Saccharomyces cerevisiae S288C: one gene and its partners. Changing the gene in region 1 together with any one later gene gives a genetic interaction. Each region holds a gene or a part of one and is shown in the gene's direction. Other genes may lie near its edges.

Region 1 (4,301 bases):
TTCTTCTAAAGTTTCAACGTTTTTTTTCAGTTTAGCTTGAGTTTCCTCCAACAAAGATAGTTCGGATTCAGCCAATTGTATCTGTGATTCTTTTTCCTGAAGTTGGAGGTCCCAAGGCTCCAGTTCCTTTTCATGCCGAATAATCTCTGCAGATATATTCTTCGTTTTATCTTTCAAAGATAGTTTAATATCATCAAGTATACTTCGTTCCTTTTCCAGCAATTGAGTCAAGTCTTTGATCTCCGTCTCGTGTTCGGTTTGTTGTCCACGAAGCTCTTCAAGCATATTCTCGGCCTCCGATATTGAATGTTTGGTGGATTTCAAAGTCTTTTCTGCTTTTTCCATTTTACTTACCAAATTTTTTGTTCTCTCTTCTAGAGACACCCTGGTGCCTTCTAATTCTCTTCTTTCTAAAACCAGGGTCTTTTCTTTCGAGCTACAAGATGATATTCGATCTTTTATTTCCTTACGTTGTGCTTTAATCTCATCCACTTTTTTCAAAGATTCTTGAAATTTCATCTTCTCATCTTCGAGGTCTTTATTCGAAGAGGAGATCTTTTCCAAGGTGCTGGCAAGTTTAGAGTTGCTTTGCAACAATTTAAATTGAAATAATTTTGATCTTAAAAGCGTCAGCTGCTTTTCCTTCTCTAAAAACTCTAACGCCGTTTCTTTCCCTGACTCTAAAGAGTTTTTTTCTCTATCAACAATTTCAAATCTATTTTCCTTTTCCAGGCAAACTTCATTTAGATTCTCAATCTGTCCCATTCGCTCTTCAATTAACGGCTTATAGTTTGCAGTTCCAATTATGTCCTCCAGATATTCCAGTAGTCCGTCGTCACTCTCTTTTTCTGCTTTAGGCTTCATTTGAGCAATATTCTCTACTTCACCTTGTAGAATTAAAAATCGTTTATGGTCTAAATCAATACCCTCATTCTTTAAAAGCTTTGTCACCTCTGTGTAGCTACTTTCTTTTTCGTTTATGTAATATTTCGATGAGTTGTTTTTAAAGGCTTTCCTTGTAATGATCAATCCAGGTTTTTCTTCATCGATTCGGGAAGTACCCGAAGATTCATCAATAACGTACTGAAAATGTACAGCTACGGAACATGATTGCAAACTTGGGAAAGCTTCTGATTTATGAATTAAATCCGACAATCTGTCCTGTCTCATCTTGTTCGCTCTAAATCCAAATACAAATAACATGGAATCGATGACATTTGATTTACCTGAACCATTGGGGCCTACCACGGCCGAGAAGCTAGTATGAAAGGGTCCTACTACTTGTTTACCAGCGTAGGACTTGAAGTTCTCTAAGACTAGTTCGTTAATAAATAGTCTGCTCTGTTGCTTGCTCGACGACTGGTGCCTATCATAAATTTTTTGTAGTTCAACCCTGCTATTTTTCACTGGCGAAAGCTGGAGCAATTCTAATCTTCTAGTTGGCGATCTTCCTGGAGACCTTGGTGGTGATTGAGAGTAGGACTTATGGTCGCGACCCCTAGAAGAGGTTTTTGGTGGTTGCAAGTTCGGTACATGTAATGACGTGGTTGTTGAGTTTGTAGGTTGAGAAAAGGCATACCGATTTTCCCCAGAACTTAAAACAAGCTTTCTGGGAGTATAAGATTTGGAATAAGATGCTTCCAACGCAGGAAGATCCGGCTCTGGTGTATTCTCGCTTAGGTTAACTCGGTTTTCTACCTGCGAATCTTCTTCGGCATCACCTTGATCAAGAGATAATTCTGGTTCTTGGGCGGACTTCCGCTTTTGTCTTTTGCTCAATGGACTATCAGACATCAAATATATTCTGTTGGTTGCACGTGGTTAGTGTTTAAGGTGATGCGGCTTCTTATAGGGCCTCTTTTATGGTATGAAATCGATTCCAGTGTGTAGATAATGTAAACCTATATGTATTTTCGTGATTATTGTAAACAGTTTACTTTCCGTCCATAATTACAAATGCATTTCAAAATGGGCCAAGAAGAACAAGAGAATTAATGCAAGACCAAAGGAGAAGAAGCGCAGAATCGTGGACAAGATAATTTAAACTATGGAAACACCACCCATTGTGATTGATAATGGCTCATACGAAATCAAGTTTGGTCCTTCCACGAATAAGAAACCGTTCCGAGCTTTAAATGCATTGGCCAAAGATAAATTTGGGACATCGTATTTATCAAATCATATCAAAAACATCAAAGATATTTCATCTATCACCTTCAGGAGGCCACATGAACTAGGACAGCTCACATTATGGGAATTAGAGAGTTGTATATGGGATTATTGCCTTTTCAATCCTTCAGAGTTTGATGGGTTTGATCTGAAAGAGGGAAAGGGTCATCATTTGGTTGCTAGCGAGAGCTGTATGACTTTACCAGAATTAAGTAAGCATGCCGACCAGGTGATATTTGAAGAATATGAATTCGACAGTCTTTTCAAGTCTCCTGTAGCAGTCTTTGTACCATTTACCAAGTCATATAAGGGTGAAATGAGAACAATTTCAGGTAAGGACGAAGATATCGATATTGTCCGTGGCAACTCAGACAGTACAAATTCCACATCAAGCGAGTCCAAGAATGCGCAGGATTCAGGTAGCGATTATCATGATTTCCAATTAGTTATTGATTCCGGGTTTAATTGTACTTGGATAATTCCTGTCCTGAAGGGAATACCGTACTATAAAGCGGTAAAAAAATTGGACATTGGAGGCCGTTTCCTAACTGGGCTACTAAAGGAAACTCTATCATTCAGACACTACAATATGATGGATGAAACCATACTTGTTAACAATATCAAGGAACAATGCTTGTTCGTTAGCCCGGTGTCTTATTTTGATAGTTTCAAAACGAAGGATAAGCATGCACTAGAATATGTACTTCCTGACTTCCAAACAAGCTTTCTTGGTTACGTAAGAAACCCCAGAAAAGAAAATGTACCGTTACCTGAAGATGCGCAGATCATAACACTGACAGATGAGCTTTTCACAATACCAGAAACTTTTTTCCATCCAGAAATTTCGCAAATTACTAAACCAGGCATTGTGGAGGCCATCCTAGAGAGCCTTTCCATGTTGCCCGAAATAGTGCGACCTCTTATGGTAGGAAACATTGTATGTACAGGAGGAAACTTTAATCTGCCCAATTTCGCCCAACGGCTTGCGGCAGAACTACAAAGGCAATTACCCACAGATTGGACTTGTCATGTTTCGGTGCCCGAAGGTGACTGTGCTCTGTTTGGGTGGGAAGTGATGTCACAGTTTGCAAAGACAGATTCCTACCGAAAAGCGAGGGTCACAAGAGAAGAATACTATGAGCATGGTCCCGATTGGTGTACGAAGCACAGGTTTGGTTACCAGAATTGGATATAATTAACTATAGATTTACATAGCAACAATGAAAATCCGAAAAGTCGAGACCTTCAGGTCATTTTCAATTTGGATTTTGTCATGTTTTTAAGAATCTTCCGCAGGCAATAATACATCTCATATGTTTTACATTTTTATTGACAAATTCCCAAATTAGGCAAAAATTCCTCTTTTTTAGTGGTTAGAAACGCCATTCTTCCCATTTTTTCGCGATACAAAAAAAGAAATATATGGAAATGTGGAAATGTCATCATCAGAAGTCTCGAAGGAAAGTGTGCGCTTTAATCATCCCCATACTAGACTTTGTAGGAGAAGATAATACAATTTTCGTTTTATATTTATACAGTTGATTGACCGGGAAACGAAGAAACGCAAGAGAAAACGATCAAAATACACCTGTTCTTCGTTACGATATAGAAATTAAATGTTTGTTCATCGTCTCTGGACACTCGCATTTCCTTTTCTTGTGGAGATATCGAAGGCATCACAGTTGGAGAATATTAAATCTCTTCTGGACATCGAAGATAATGTGCTACCGAATTTGAATATATCGCAAAATAATAGCAACGCAGTACAAATCCTCGGGGGTGTGGACGCCTTATCTTTTTACGAGTACACAGGCCAACAAAATTTCACTAAAGAAATAGGTCCAGAAACAAGCTCACATGGATTAGTTTATTACTCTAACAACACCTATATCCAGTTGGAAGATGCCTCTGATGATACTCGAATAGACAAAATTACACCATTTGGCGTTGATTCGTTTATTCTTAGCGGATCAGGCACGATAAACAATATCTCTGTCGGAAACCAGATATTATACAATTTGTCGACACTGTCTATGACGCCTATATTCAACCAGTCTTTGGGAGCTGTTCAGGCTGTGCTCGCAGACAATTCTTCTATCTATTTTGGAGGAAACTTTTCATATAATAATGGC
Region 2 (3,172 bases), on another chromosome or scaffold:
TTGGAAAGACTGTTAAAGATGGCCCATTTTATACCGGATCAATGAGCTTGATAATAGATCAACAGGAAAACAGCAAGAGCGGTAAACGCAAACCCAACATAATCCTAGACGAAGACGATACTAATGATGGCATTGAAAGATATTCCGATAAATATTTGAAAAAAAGGAAAATAGGTATTTCTATTGATGATCATCCGTATAATTTGAACCTCTTTCCCAATGAATTGTACAATGTAATGGGGATCAACAAGAAAAAATTATTGGCAATCTCCAAGTTTAATAATGCCGATGATGTTTTTACTGGTACAGGTTTACAAGATGAAAACATCGGACTATCCATGCTGGCAAAGTTAAAGGAGTTGGCAGAAGATGTGGATGATGCGTCGACGGGTGATGGGGCAGCAAAAGGAAGTAAAACAGGCGAAGGAGAAGATGATGATTTGGCGGATGATGATTTCGAAGAAGATGAAGACGAAGAAGATGATGATGATTATAATGCTGAAAAGTATTTCAACAATGGTGACGATGATGATTACGGTGATGAAGAGGATCCAAATGAAGAGGCCGCCTTTTAGTTGAAAATTTATACCGCTTTACCATATTTTTGGATATTCTTCAAAGCAGAATTTGTACAATTAGCATTTTTCTTTATGGTTTAGATCGGCGGTGAGGGCGCAACAGATTTATGTATACATATTGAAATAATAAAATTTAAAAAAGAAAAAATCTTGGTAAACATTAAAAATCTTAATTCTATTTAAATATTAGTATTACAATAACAGCATGTTTCTCTTGTCATTAGCTGAGCCTTGGAGGTGGTCTTTTTCTTGTAGGAGACATCGAATTCTTCCTCGAATTAAAATTGGAATTCGAAGTAGTCGGTAGAGGTGGTAGTTTTGGAGAATTCAGGCCTGATGGATGAGGATGTGAGTTAGGCGAAGAGGAATCTAGGCGTGAGGGTCTATCTCTTCTTACTAACGGCGTATTGCGCGAACTTGAATAATTGGACATATCATCTCTGGTCGGTATAGGAGGTAAGGGCGGTTGGTTATAGTTGTGGGAGACTCTATGGCTGGAAGAATAAAATGCGTCATTTTCGTCGTCATCGTCATCATCTTCGTCGTAAGACAACGAAGTTACACCAATAGCCTTTTGAAGTGCCTCAATATCTACCTTGTTAGATTCATTTTGGCAGTTGTTTGTTGAACTATCAGGATTCTTAAATATATTTATCTTCTCCTTTAATTTCCTTAAATTGGCAAAATGGAATTTTGTATTCGAAGTGTTTGATATAGCAGTATCATTAGTTTCTAATGTAGACGTTGTACCCATGGATGCTGAAAAAGTTGGAGGTAAAATTATTGGGTCATTACTATTTGCCAATACCGCTGTATCTGATTTAGATGACATGGAGAAAACATTGCCATTTCTGTAGGGCTGTCCCTCATCCTTATCCTCGTGACTTGTGCTAACACACTGGGGAGTAATCTGTCTCATCGTAGAACCATGAACATAGTCATACTCTGATTCTGTTGGCAATGGTGGTATCGGCCTCATAGCCATAGATGAATCCAACCTGTCCATTTCTTTGTTAAGATCGTCCCTGTTTAAACGAGGTACTTTGGGAGTGAAAGTCAACTCAATGAATATAGTGCCAGCAAATTCATCCCCACTTCTTTTCAGTTCGTACCAGGTACAATAACCCTCCTTCGGGTCTGCTCTAATAGCATTTAAAAGGTCTATTTCACATCTTCCAATTGGCAGCGGAGATTTTTTCCTTCTATCGCAGTAAACTTCGACGTACATTAAAGGCTTTATCTCTGGAGTAATATCAAATTTTTCTAAATAATGGAAAACAGGGTTTTGACCTGCTCGATGTAGAGTGTTGCTGGCTCTTGTCATATGAGCTATTCGCAACCTAAGCATTACATTTTGCTTGTCCAGTTTATTCAAATTAGGCAAGTCTCTAGCTTTGCTCACATATACGGAGAGGATTCCTTGGTTTCCATTCCATACTTCTTCGGACATTCGACAGTGACTCAACGAGTTAACCCAATTCCAGTTGTGAAACCTAAGGTCTCCGAATTCTCTCGTACTATTAACATACCTTTCTATGTTTTTATCTAAATCATATGAGGAACGCTAGGCCGTCATTCATGATCAGCAGAGGCGGCTTTTCATACAATTTTACAGGAAGCTAAGTACTTAGAGGACTTATGCTCTGTTTGGTCCTGCGGAAACTACCAGAATACACAACGCCAAGAAACTAACAGAGGACCATTATGGAACTGTTACCACAGGGACAAAGGAACAACACTCAGGTAACGTTCGAAGATCAGCAAAAGATCAACGAGTTTTCGAAGTTGATTATGCGTAAGGACGCCATTGCGCAGGAATTGAGTTTACAGAGGGAGGAGAAGGAGTACCTCGATGATGTGTCTCTAGAAATTGAATTGATTGACGAAGATGAGCCCGTGCAATACAAGGTGGGCGACCTCTTTATCTTCATGAAACAGAGCAAAGTTACCGCACAGCTCGAAAAAGACGCAGAACGTCTCGACAACAAAATAGAGACTTTAGAGGACAAGCAAAGAGACATTGATTCCCGTCTTGATGCTCTGAAGGCGATCCTGTATGCTAAATTTGGTGATAATATCAACCTTGAACGTTAGAACACTCATTAAAGTGTGGGCTGTGGGTGTCTCCACAAAATGAGTAATGAAAAATTTTTAATTTTTTCAGGAGGGAAATTAAAGAAAAGTAAAGAACATGATAATAAAAAGCAAGTTTAAGTTATTGTGTATGAGATAGAGTTTTTTTTGTATACCTTTGTAATCCGCATATATTCCTAAGTACCTTTTTTTTCAGACAGAAAAAAAGAGTTTCTTTACGGAAATTACTTCTTTCGTTTGATATTGTTTTTCTCTTTCGAGATTTAAGAACGTGGTTGTGTTTCGTGTTTCTGTGCAGATCATATTAGAAAGTTTTTTTCTCCATTTTGATAGACAAAACTTGTTGTTTCTACTGAACACAGCATATAAGCCAAGAAAATAGTTTTCCAAAAATGTCTCAAGTGCAAAGTCCTTTGACAGCAACGAACTCTGGTTTAGCTGTCAATAATAACACAATGAACTCACAAATGCCTAACCGTAGCAATGTTAGATTGGTCAAT
Region 3 (3,645 bases), on another chromosome or scaffold:
AGTTATATAATTTGGAAGCAGCAACATTGTGATTTCTTCTAAAGGGGTTCTTTGCAGTAATTTTTTCAAAAAAGAGTGATTTTGAGCAGTATCTGTATGAAATTTTCATGTGTTCGAGAAAAATAGTAATTCCGAGAGCTGTCAATACCATGAACGTTGCGATGAGCCTTTGAACTATAAAGGCCTCCTTGGTCAGTACCAATATCGATGAATAAAATAGAAGCACGCGAAAAAGACCTTACCCCAAGGAGAAGAATCACAAACCCTTTTTTGTTATGAATGAACCAATTCAGTTACTAACTTTATTTCAACGCTGCTTGATTCTTATTGTTTAGATTGATGTCACCGGTGGTAAGAAAGCACTAGTCCTTTTTGTCCCAGTTCCAGCTTTGTCTGCATACCATAAGGTCCAAACCAAATTGACCCGTGAATTGGAAAAGAAATTCCCTGACCGTCATGTTATTTTCTTGGCTGAAAGAAGAATCTTGCCAAAACCATCTAGAACATCTAGACAAGTCCAAAAGAGACCAAGATCCAGAACTTTGACTGCTGTTCACGACAAGGTTTTGGAAGACATGGTTTTCCCAACTGAAATTGTCGGTAAAAGAGTTAGATATTTGGTTGGTGGTAACAAGATCCAAAAGGTTTTGTTAGACTCCAAGGATGTTCAACAAATCGACTACAAGTTGGAATCTTTCCAAGCTGTCTACAACAAGTTGACTGGCAAACAAATTGTTTTTGAAATTCCAAGCCAGACCAACTAAATAGTGAGATAACTATCATTCTCATCATTTGTCATACTTAAAGAAAATAATATTAAGAAAAAATAATAAAAAAAGAAACATAGTTATGAGAATACAAAAGGAGGTTTCCAAAAAGTGGGCTTTTTTAATTCGAGTAAAATAATTATGAATGTATACTTAAATATATTTTGTATCTGTCAATATAGAGATGCTTTAATTGGTGTTTTGACATTTTGGAATACATATTGGGTTGATTTCCCAAGTTCTCGCTGCAATCAGATAAAAAGGAAAAAAAATAATGGTTGCTAAGAGATTCGAACTCTTGCATCTTACGATACCTGAGTATTCCCACAGTTAACTGCGGTCAAGATATTTCTTGAATCAGGCGCCTTAGACCGCTCGGCCAAACAACCACTTATTTGTTGAAGAAAAAGCATTATTTATCGCTAGACAACGATACGTCCATCAACAACCGTTAGTTCTTTCACATTGATATGCGGATTACTTATCTGAAGGAAAGGAAAAAGGCGTGGAACAAGTGAGCATTAACATAACCATCTGAAATCTTAGATGATCCCAAGTATGTGTAATTAGATCCGCCTCTTCGCCCAGCACATTGTCCATGCATTATCTGCTTACCTCTACGCGTACCTTGACATGGCGTGTTACGTGTTTCAACTTTGTATAATCAGAATTTCATTTGAGTATATTTTACAAGTCAAAAGCCCAAATGACGTATACTTGAAATAATTGAGGCACGTCCAATTGTGAGTGGCAAACCTTTTTTTCGGTATTCTAGATAGAGCTAATCGCGTATTTGCAATTATAGTTTACAATTCTTAGACGATTTCCGAAGAAAGTTAAAAATGCCCTTGAAAAAAAAATATGTAGGAAAGAGTGCATGCACATGAAGAAGAAAGAAAGAGCTAGGGAAAAAACGAAAAAGGAGCCTAAGGAAAAGAGTTAGGCGTTTACAACAGGACGAACCCGGAAGGAGAAAAGTTTGTAGTCTTGCAGTATCACAAACAGCAACCACGTTCATAGTCTGAAATACGTACAAATGAGTTCACCAGCGAACCTATTCCCTGGATTAAACGACATAACTGACGTGCTGGAGGAATTCCCACTGGCCACCTCCAGATATTTAACATTACTACACGAAATAGATGCAAAATGTGTGCATTCTATGCCGAATTTGAACGAGAGGATAGATAAGTTCTTGAAGAAAGACTTCAATAAAGATCACCAAACACAAGTAAGACTGCTCAATAATATCAACAAGATTTATGAAGAACTGATGCCATCGCTGGAGGAGAAAATGCATGTCTCATCCATTATGCTGGATAATCTAGACAGATTGACGTCCCGGTTAGAATTGGCGTATGAAGTCGCAATCAAGAACACAGAAATTCCTAGAGGTTTAAGACTGGGTGTGGACAACCATCCAGCAATGCACCTCCATCATGAACTAATGGAAAAAATAGAGAGCAAATCAAACAGCAAATCGTCGCAGGCACTGAAGAGCGAATCAAGAAGAGAAGCCATGGCTGCCAACAGGAGGCAGGGCGAACATTACTCCGCCAGCACACACCAACAAGACGACTCAAAGAACGACGCAAACTACGGAGGCAGCAGGCACGAGAGCCAAGACCACACTGGTAACAACACAAACTCAAGAAAAAGAGCCAACGCTGCCAATACCAACAACGCCGATCCAGAGACCAAAAAACGCAAGAGGAGAGTTGCCACCACAGCCGTTTCACCAAGCACTATCAGCACGGCAACTGCCGTCAATAATGGCAGGATAGGTACATCTACAGCGTCCAGGGGAGTTAGCAGCGTCGGAAACAGCAACAACAGCAGGATATCAAGACCAAAAACCAACGACTACGGCGAACCGCTCTACTGCTACTGTAACCAAGTGGCATACGGGGAAATGGTGGGGTGTGATGGCGCAGACTGTGAGCTAGAATGGTTCCATTTGCCATGTATTGGACTCGAAACTCTACCTAAGGGCAAGTGGTATTGCGACGACTGCAAAAAAAAACTGTGAAATAGCTCTCGGGCGAATATCGCCTTAAGGAAATATCTACTAAATACCGAATATATACATATATATATATCTTAGCTACATATATATATATCTTAGCGTTTTAACGGGCGTGGCCGTATCAATGGATCTGCAAGATACTTGGGCCCTACCGGTCTAGATAAAATATTCAAATCGATGGTGATGACGGCACGATAAAACGTAATAAATGATGAAATGACTTGTCACGGCGTAGCAGCGCCAGCAGCTCAGTCTAATCGCCGTACAGTGGGTGGTGTGGCTAATCGCTTAGGCTTTTTATTCAGAAGGACCTTTTCATTCACCTCGCCCCCCTTGGAGGTTCCTGCCTGACCCCTTTGCCCCTGGCCTCGCCCCTGCGCCATGTCTCTGCCTGGAGCGTGACATTTAGGACGGTGAAGCTAGGCAGGCCTTCAGAAATTAAACGGAACATGACAGCAAAGACGAAACAAAGCTGGAATAAGGGGATCTGGGAAAACGGGAAACAAGGTTCACATCAGCAAACATTTCTACCGAAAATCTGGGTAAACATTTATAGTACCCCAACATCTTAAGTTTTAGCCGTTGTCTTCTCTTATCGCCTAGAATCGCTCATTTCAAGCGTAACGCAATCCGGCTTTTGTTTTTTTTCCATTTTATTCATCCACTCTTTATCTGACTCTTCTGCACTATATTAATCAACTAGGAGAAAATTACTTGAGCAGAAAGATACGAGAGAATTACGGATAAAAAAACCAAGTTAACCGTTTTCGAATTGAAAGGAGATATACAGAAAAAAAAATGCCTTTGAACAAGTCGAACATAAGAGAGTACAAGCTAGTCGTCGTTGGTGGT
Region 4 (4,172 bases), on another chromosome or scaffold:
CGATTCCCTTGTATGGTTCTTTGTCACAAGCGCAGAGCTCGATTGCTTCTCTAAAGATAATTCTCATTTTATTATTGATCCCAATCGGACGAAGCTAATAACAACTAATATCACTAACAGAAGACCATTACCCTTGAGTAGATCCAATCTTCAGAGATATTACGGTTTTGCTGAAACTTTTTACTATGATTTGCATATCTTCCCCTATGTAAGACAATTGGTTAACATATTAGAAACTTCCTTCAATTGTTCTCAAAGGGGAATCACCCTAAATGCCTCTGTGTTACTTCATTCCACTACAAACAATGTGGGCAAGGCTACAATGGTGAGATTTGCTTCAAAATATCTTGGTATACATCTACTGGAGATAGATTGCCTTTCGCTCACTTCAAATTCAAGACAACTGGATTCAACATCTAAGATTATTGGTTACATTAGGGCTAAATGTGAAAATGTCCTACCGTACGCATCACCTGCTGTGATTTTTTTGGCTCATTTGGATTCAATTTTGCTTGACGTAAACGCTAATCAAGATCCAGAGGCAATCAAATTACAAAAATCTATAAACTTCGAAATGTCTAAACTTCTGGACGATTTTACGTTTAAATTCCCAGGAACTACATTTGTTGGCTCCGTAAATAACATAGATAACGTGCCTTCCAGCTTTAGATCACATATGAGATTTGAGATTCTCGTACCCGTTCCGTCTGAAGCACAGAGACTGCGTATCTTTCAGTGGTACTTATCTTCACATGAACTAAACAGAGATGTTCAACAAAAGGTTCCAGTATCTTACATGGATAATATTTCATTTTCATCACTCTCTTCATATTCTGCTGGTTTAACTCCTTTAGACATCAAATCAATTGTGGAAACGGCACGAATGACGGCTACTGCGCGTTTTTACCAAGAATCAAAGAAGTGTGGATGGCTTCCGCAATCAATTTTGATCACTCAGGAGGATTTATCAAAAGCTACTTCGAAAGCTAGGAACGAATTCTCGGTTTCGATTGGTGCCCCACAAATCCCTAACGTAACTTGGGATGATATAGGTGGTATTGATTTTGTTAAAGGTGAAATATTGGACACAATAGACATGCCGCTAAAACATCCTGAATTATTTACCTCAGGTATGAAAAAGAGAAGCGGTATTCTTTTTTATGGTCCACCGGGTACAGGTAAAACTCTAATGGCTAAGGCCATTGCAACAAATTTTTCTTTAAATTTTTTTAGTGTTAAAGGCCCTGAACTGTTGAATATGTACATTGGTGAGAGTGAAGCTAATGTGCGCAGAGTGTTTCAAAAGGCGAGAGAGGCTAAACCTTGTGTCATATTTTTCGATGAAATCGATTCAGTAGCACCCAAACGTGGTAATCAAGGTGATTCGGGTGGTGTTATGGATCGTATCGTTTCACAGTTACTAGCAGAGTTAGATGGTATGAGTACCGACGCTGACGGTGTATTTGTTATCGGAGCAACAAACAGACCAGACTTATTGGACGAAGCACTACTAAGACCAGGACGATTCGATAAATTGTTATATTTAGGCATTCCGGATACGGATACCAAACAATTGAATATTTTAGAGGCTCTGACTCGCAAATTCGTGCTCGACAACGACGTAAAGCTTATTGAGTTGGCAAAGCTATGTCCATTTAATTACACCGGGGCAGATTTTTATGCTCTCTGCTCAGATGCAATGCTTAACGCCATGTCAAGAATTGCACGCATGGTAGAAAAAAAAGTTTCTCAGCATAACGAATTGACGGGAGAGAATATTTCTACACGTCGCTGGTTTGATAAGATTGCGACAAAAGAGGATACTAAGGTTGTCGTAAAAATGGAAGACTTCTTGAAAGCACAAGAGCAGCTCACCCCAAGTGTGTCGCGGGCTGAACTGAATCATTATGAAGCGGTGAGAGCTAATTTTGAAGGTGCTTAAGTAATATCAACTCAGAGCGTATAGGTAAATTTGTAAATATATGTCCCATATTTTGCCTTGAAATTTATCTTTTTATTTACTTACCCTCCCCGGCTCATAGTATCTATCGAAAGGGAAAAACAGAAAAGATACTAGTAGTTGATTATACATAATAAAAATTTGAAGTAATAACCATAAAGGTTCATAAAACAATTGCGCCATACAAAACATTCGTGGCTACAACTCGATATCCGTGCAGATGGTATATGAAGCAACACCTTTTGATCCGATCACGGTCAAGCCAAGCGATAAAAGACGCGTTGCATATTTTTACGATGCAGACGTTGGGAACTATGCATATGGAGCAGGTCACCCGATGAAGCCGCATAGAATAAGAATGGCACATTCCCTTATTATGAATTATGGCTTGTACAAGAAGATGGAAATTTACAGAGCTAAGCCGGCAACGAAACAAGAAATGTGTCAGTTCCATACTGATGAATACATTGATTTTTTATCGAGGGTTACTCCAGATAATTTAGAAATGTTTAAAAGAGAAAGTGTCAAGTTTAATGTCGGAGATGATTGTCCTGTCTTTGATGGGCTCTATGAGTACTGTAGCATATCTGGTGGTGGCTCTATGGAAGGAGCTGCTCGTCTGAATAGAGGCAAATGTGATGTTGCTGTCAACTATGCGGGTGGTTTGCATCATGCAAAAAAATCGGAAGCTTCTGGGTTTTGTTATTTAAATGACATAGTACTGGGCATTATTGAGCTACTACGATACCACCCCAGAGTTCTGTATATTGATATTGATGTGCACCATGGTGATGGTGTAGAGGAAGCGTTTTATACAACGGATCGTGTCATGACATGTTCTTTCCACAAATATGGTGAGTTTTTCCCTGGCACAGGTGAACTGAGAGATATAGGGGTGGGTGCAGGAAAAAACTACGCGGTCAATGTGCCATTAAGAGACGGTATTGACGATGCTACGTATAGATCTGTGTTTGAACCTGTGATAAAAAAAATTATGGAATGGTATCAACCTTCTGCTGTCGTGTTACAGTGTGGTGGGGACTCCTTGTCCGGCGATCGTCTTGGTTGCTTTAATCTTTCCATGGAAGGCCATGCTAATTGTGTAAACTATGTGAAATCCTTTGGGATCCCAATGATGGTTGTTGGTGGAGGAGGCTATACTATGAGAAATGTTGCAAGGACATGGTGCTTTGAAACAGGTCTACTAAATAACGTTGTCTTGGATAAAGATTTACCGTACAATGAATATTACGAATATTACGGTCCAGATTATAAGTTAAGTGTTAGACCTTCGAATATGTTCAATGTAAATACTCCCGAATATCTTGACAAGGTAATGACCAATATATTTGCTAATTTGGAAAACACAAAGTATGCCCCTAGTGTTCAGTTGAATCACACACCTAGGGATGCCGAAGATTTGGGTGATGTTGAAGAAGATTCTGCCGAGGCTAAAGATACGAAGGGTGGTTCGCAATATGCGAGGGACCTACATGTTGAGCATGACAATGAATTCTATTGAAAAAAAGAGTTGGAAGTATATACGAATATAAATAATGTGAAACAAAAGAAGAAAAGTGAATAAAAGGCACTTAAGACGCTATCCAATTGTGTATGAGAAGTGCAAACTCAATTTTTTTGCAAAAGACTTTTCTCAAACCTTTAATTGATGCGTTCCGTTCATACATCAACCGCGTCCCATACGTTTCGAAGAAAATTGCCTATATGTGTTATTTACATACTAGAGATATTTTAATATTGAAACAGTTGTATTTCTATTGTAATTACTATCTAAACGTCTCGTCCCACCGCTGTTGATAAAGCGGTGCCAATATAATTTATAATCACGCCTGGGTAAATGACTTTTAATTTCTTAAATCATCGAAGTATGCGAAAACAAGAAGTCTTTATTCATAATAAAAAACAAATTCGGTTACTACGACTTTTATATGTCATTCAATATTTGGTAATAATTTTACAGTATTAACCCTATCCTCATCTGATTCACTCTCTTCTAATTGCATATATTTTCAAATTCGCTTTCAGCGCTGTACAAAACCAGTAAGCAGATCTCGTACGAAGACTCAAATAAGTTGCATTGTTCGTATTCAAGGAAACCGGGGGGCAAAATTTCCAACCATATTTAAGTATGACAATATTTCCAAGTCAAGGATGCATGCTGTTCTTCTCTTCATTAACTAGCTAACCAATT

The links.
Region 2: mutations in ARP6 (region 1) and GIM3 together harm fitness more than expected from each alone (negative genetic interaction), as found in Saccharomyces cerevisiae (5 studies listed by BioGRID, with this or other methods).
Region 3: mutations in ARP6 (region 1) and PHO23 impair growth when combined (synthetic growth defect), as found in Saccharomyces cerevisiae (6 studies listed by BioGRID, with this or other methods).
Region 4: mutations in ARP6 (region 1) and RPD3 together harm fitness more than expected from each alone (negative genetic interaction), as found in Saccharomyces cerevisiae (5 studies listed by BioGRID, with this or other methods).

Annotation. Positions count from the first base shown.
Region 1 is NC_001144.5:299,736-304,036, reverse strand, and holds ARP6 (Arp6p), read left to right. Parts: upstream 1-2,047; coding exon 2,048-3,364; downstream 3,365-4,301. Other genes in the region: condensin subunit SMC4, read right to left, coding at 1-1,794; RAX2 (Rax2p), read left to right, coding at 3,786-4,301. UniProt on the Saccharomyces cerevisiae protein: Component of the SWR1 complex which mediates the ATP-dependent exchange of histone H2A for the H2A variant HZT1 leading to transcriptional regulation of selected genes by chromatin remodeling. Involved in chromosome stability.
Region 2 is NC_001146.8:345,169-348,340, reverse strand, and holds GIM3 (tubulin-binding prefolding complex subunit GIM3), read left to right. Parts: upstream 1-2,282; coding exon 2,283-2,672; downstream 2,673-3,172. Other genes in the region: RPC31 (DNA-directed RNA polymerase III subunit C31), read left to right, coding at 1-575; INN1 (Inn1p), read right to left, coding at 799-2,028; serine/threonine protein kinase YCK2, read left to right, coding at 3,065-3,172. UniProt on the Saccharomyces cerevisiae protein: Binds specifically to cytosolic chaperonin (c-CPN) and transfers target proteins to it. Binds to nascent polypeptide chain and promotes folding in an environment in which there are many competing pathways for nonnative proteins.
Region 3 is NC_001146.8:440,517-444,161, reverse strand, and holds PHO23 (Pho23p), read left to right. Parts: upstream 1-1,803; coding exon 1,804-2,796; downstream 2,797-3,645. Other genes in the region: 40S ribosomal protein eS7 RPS7B, read left to right, coding at 336-764; PLS1 (Pls1p), read left to right, coding at 3,243-3,365; Ras family GTPase RAS2, read left to right, coding at 3,592-3,645. UniProt on the Saccharomyces cerevisiae protein: Component of the RPD3C(L) histone deacetylase complex (HDAC) responsible for the deacetylation of lysine residues on the N-terminal part of the core histones (H2A, H2B, H3 and H4).
Region 4 is NC_001146.8:17,311-21,482, reverse strand, and holds RPD3 (histone deacetylase RPD3), read left to right. Parts: upstream 1-2,180; coding exon 2,181-3,482; downstream 3,483-4,172. Other genes in the region: PEX6 (AAA family ATPase peroxin 6), read left to right, coding at 1-1,942. UniProt on the Saccharomyces cerevisiae protein: Catalytic component of the RPD3 histone deacetylase (HDAC) complexes RPD3C(L) and RPD3C(S) responsible for the deacetylation of lysine residues on the N-terminal part of the core histones (H2A, H2B, H3 and H4).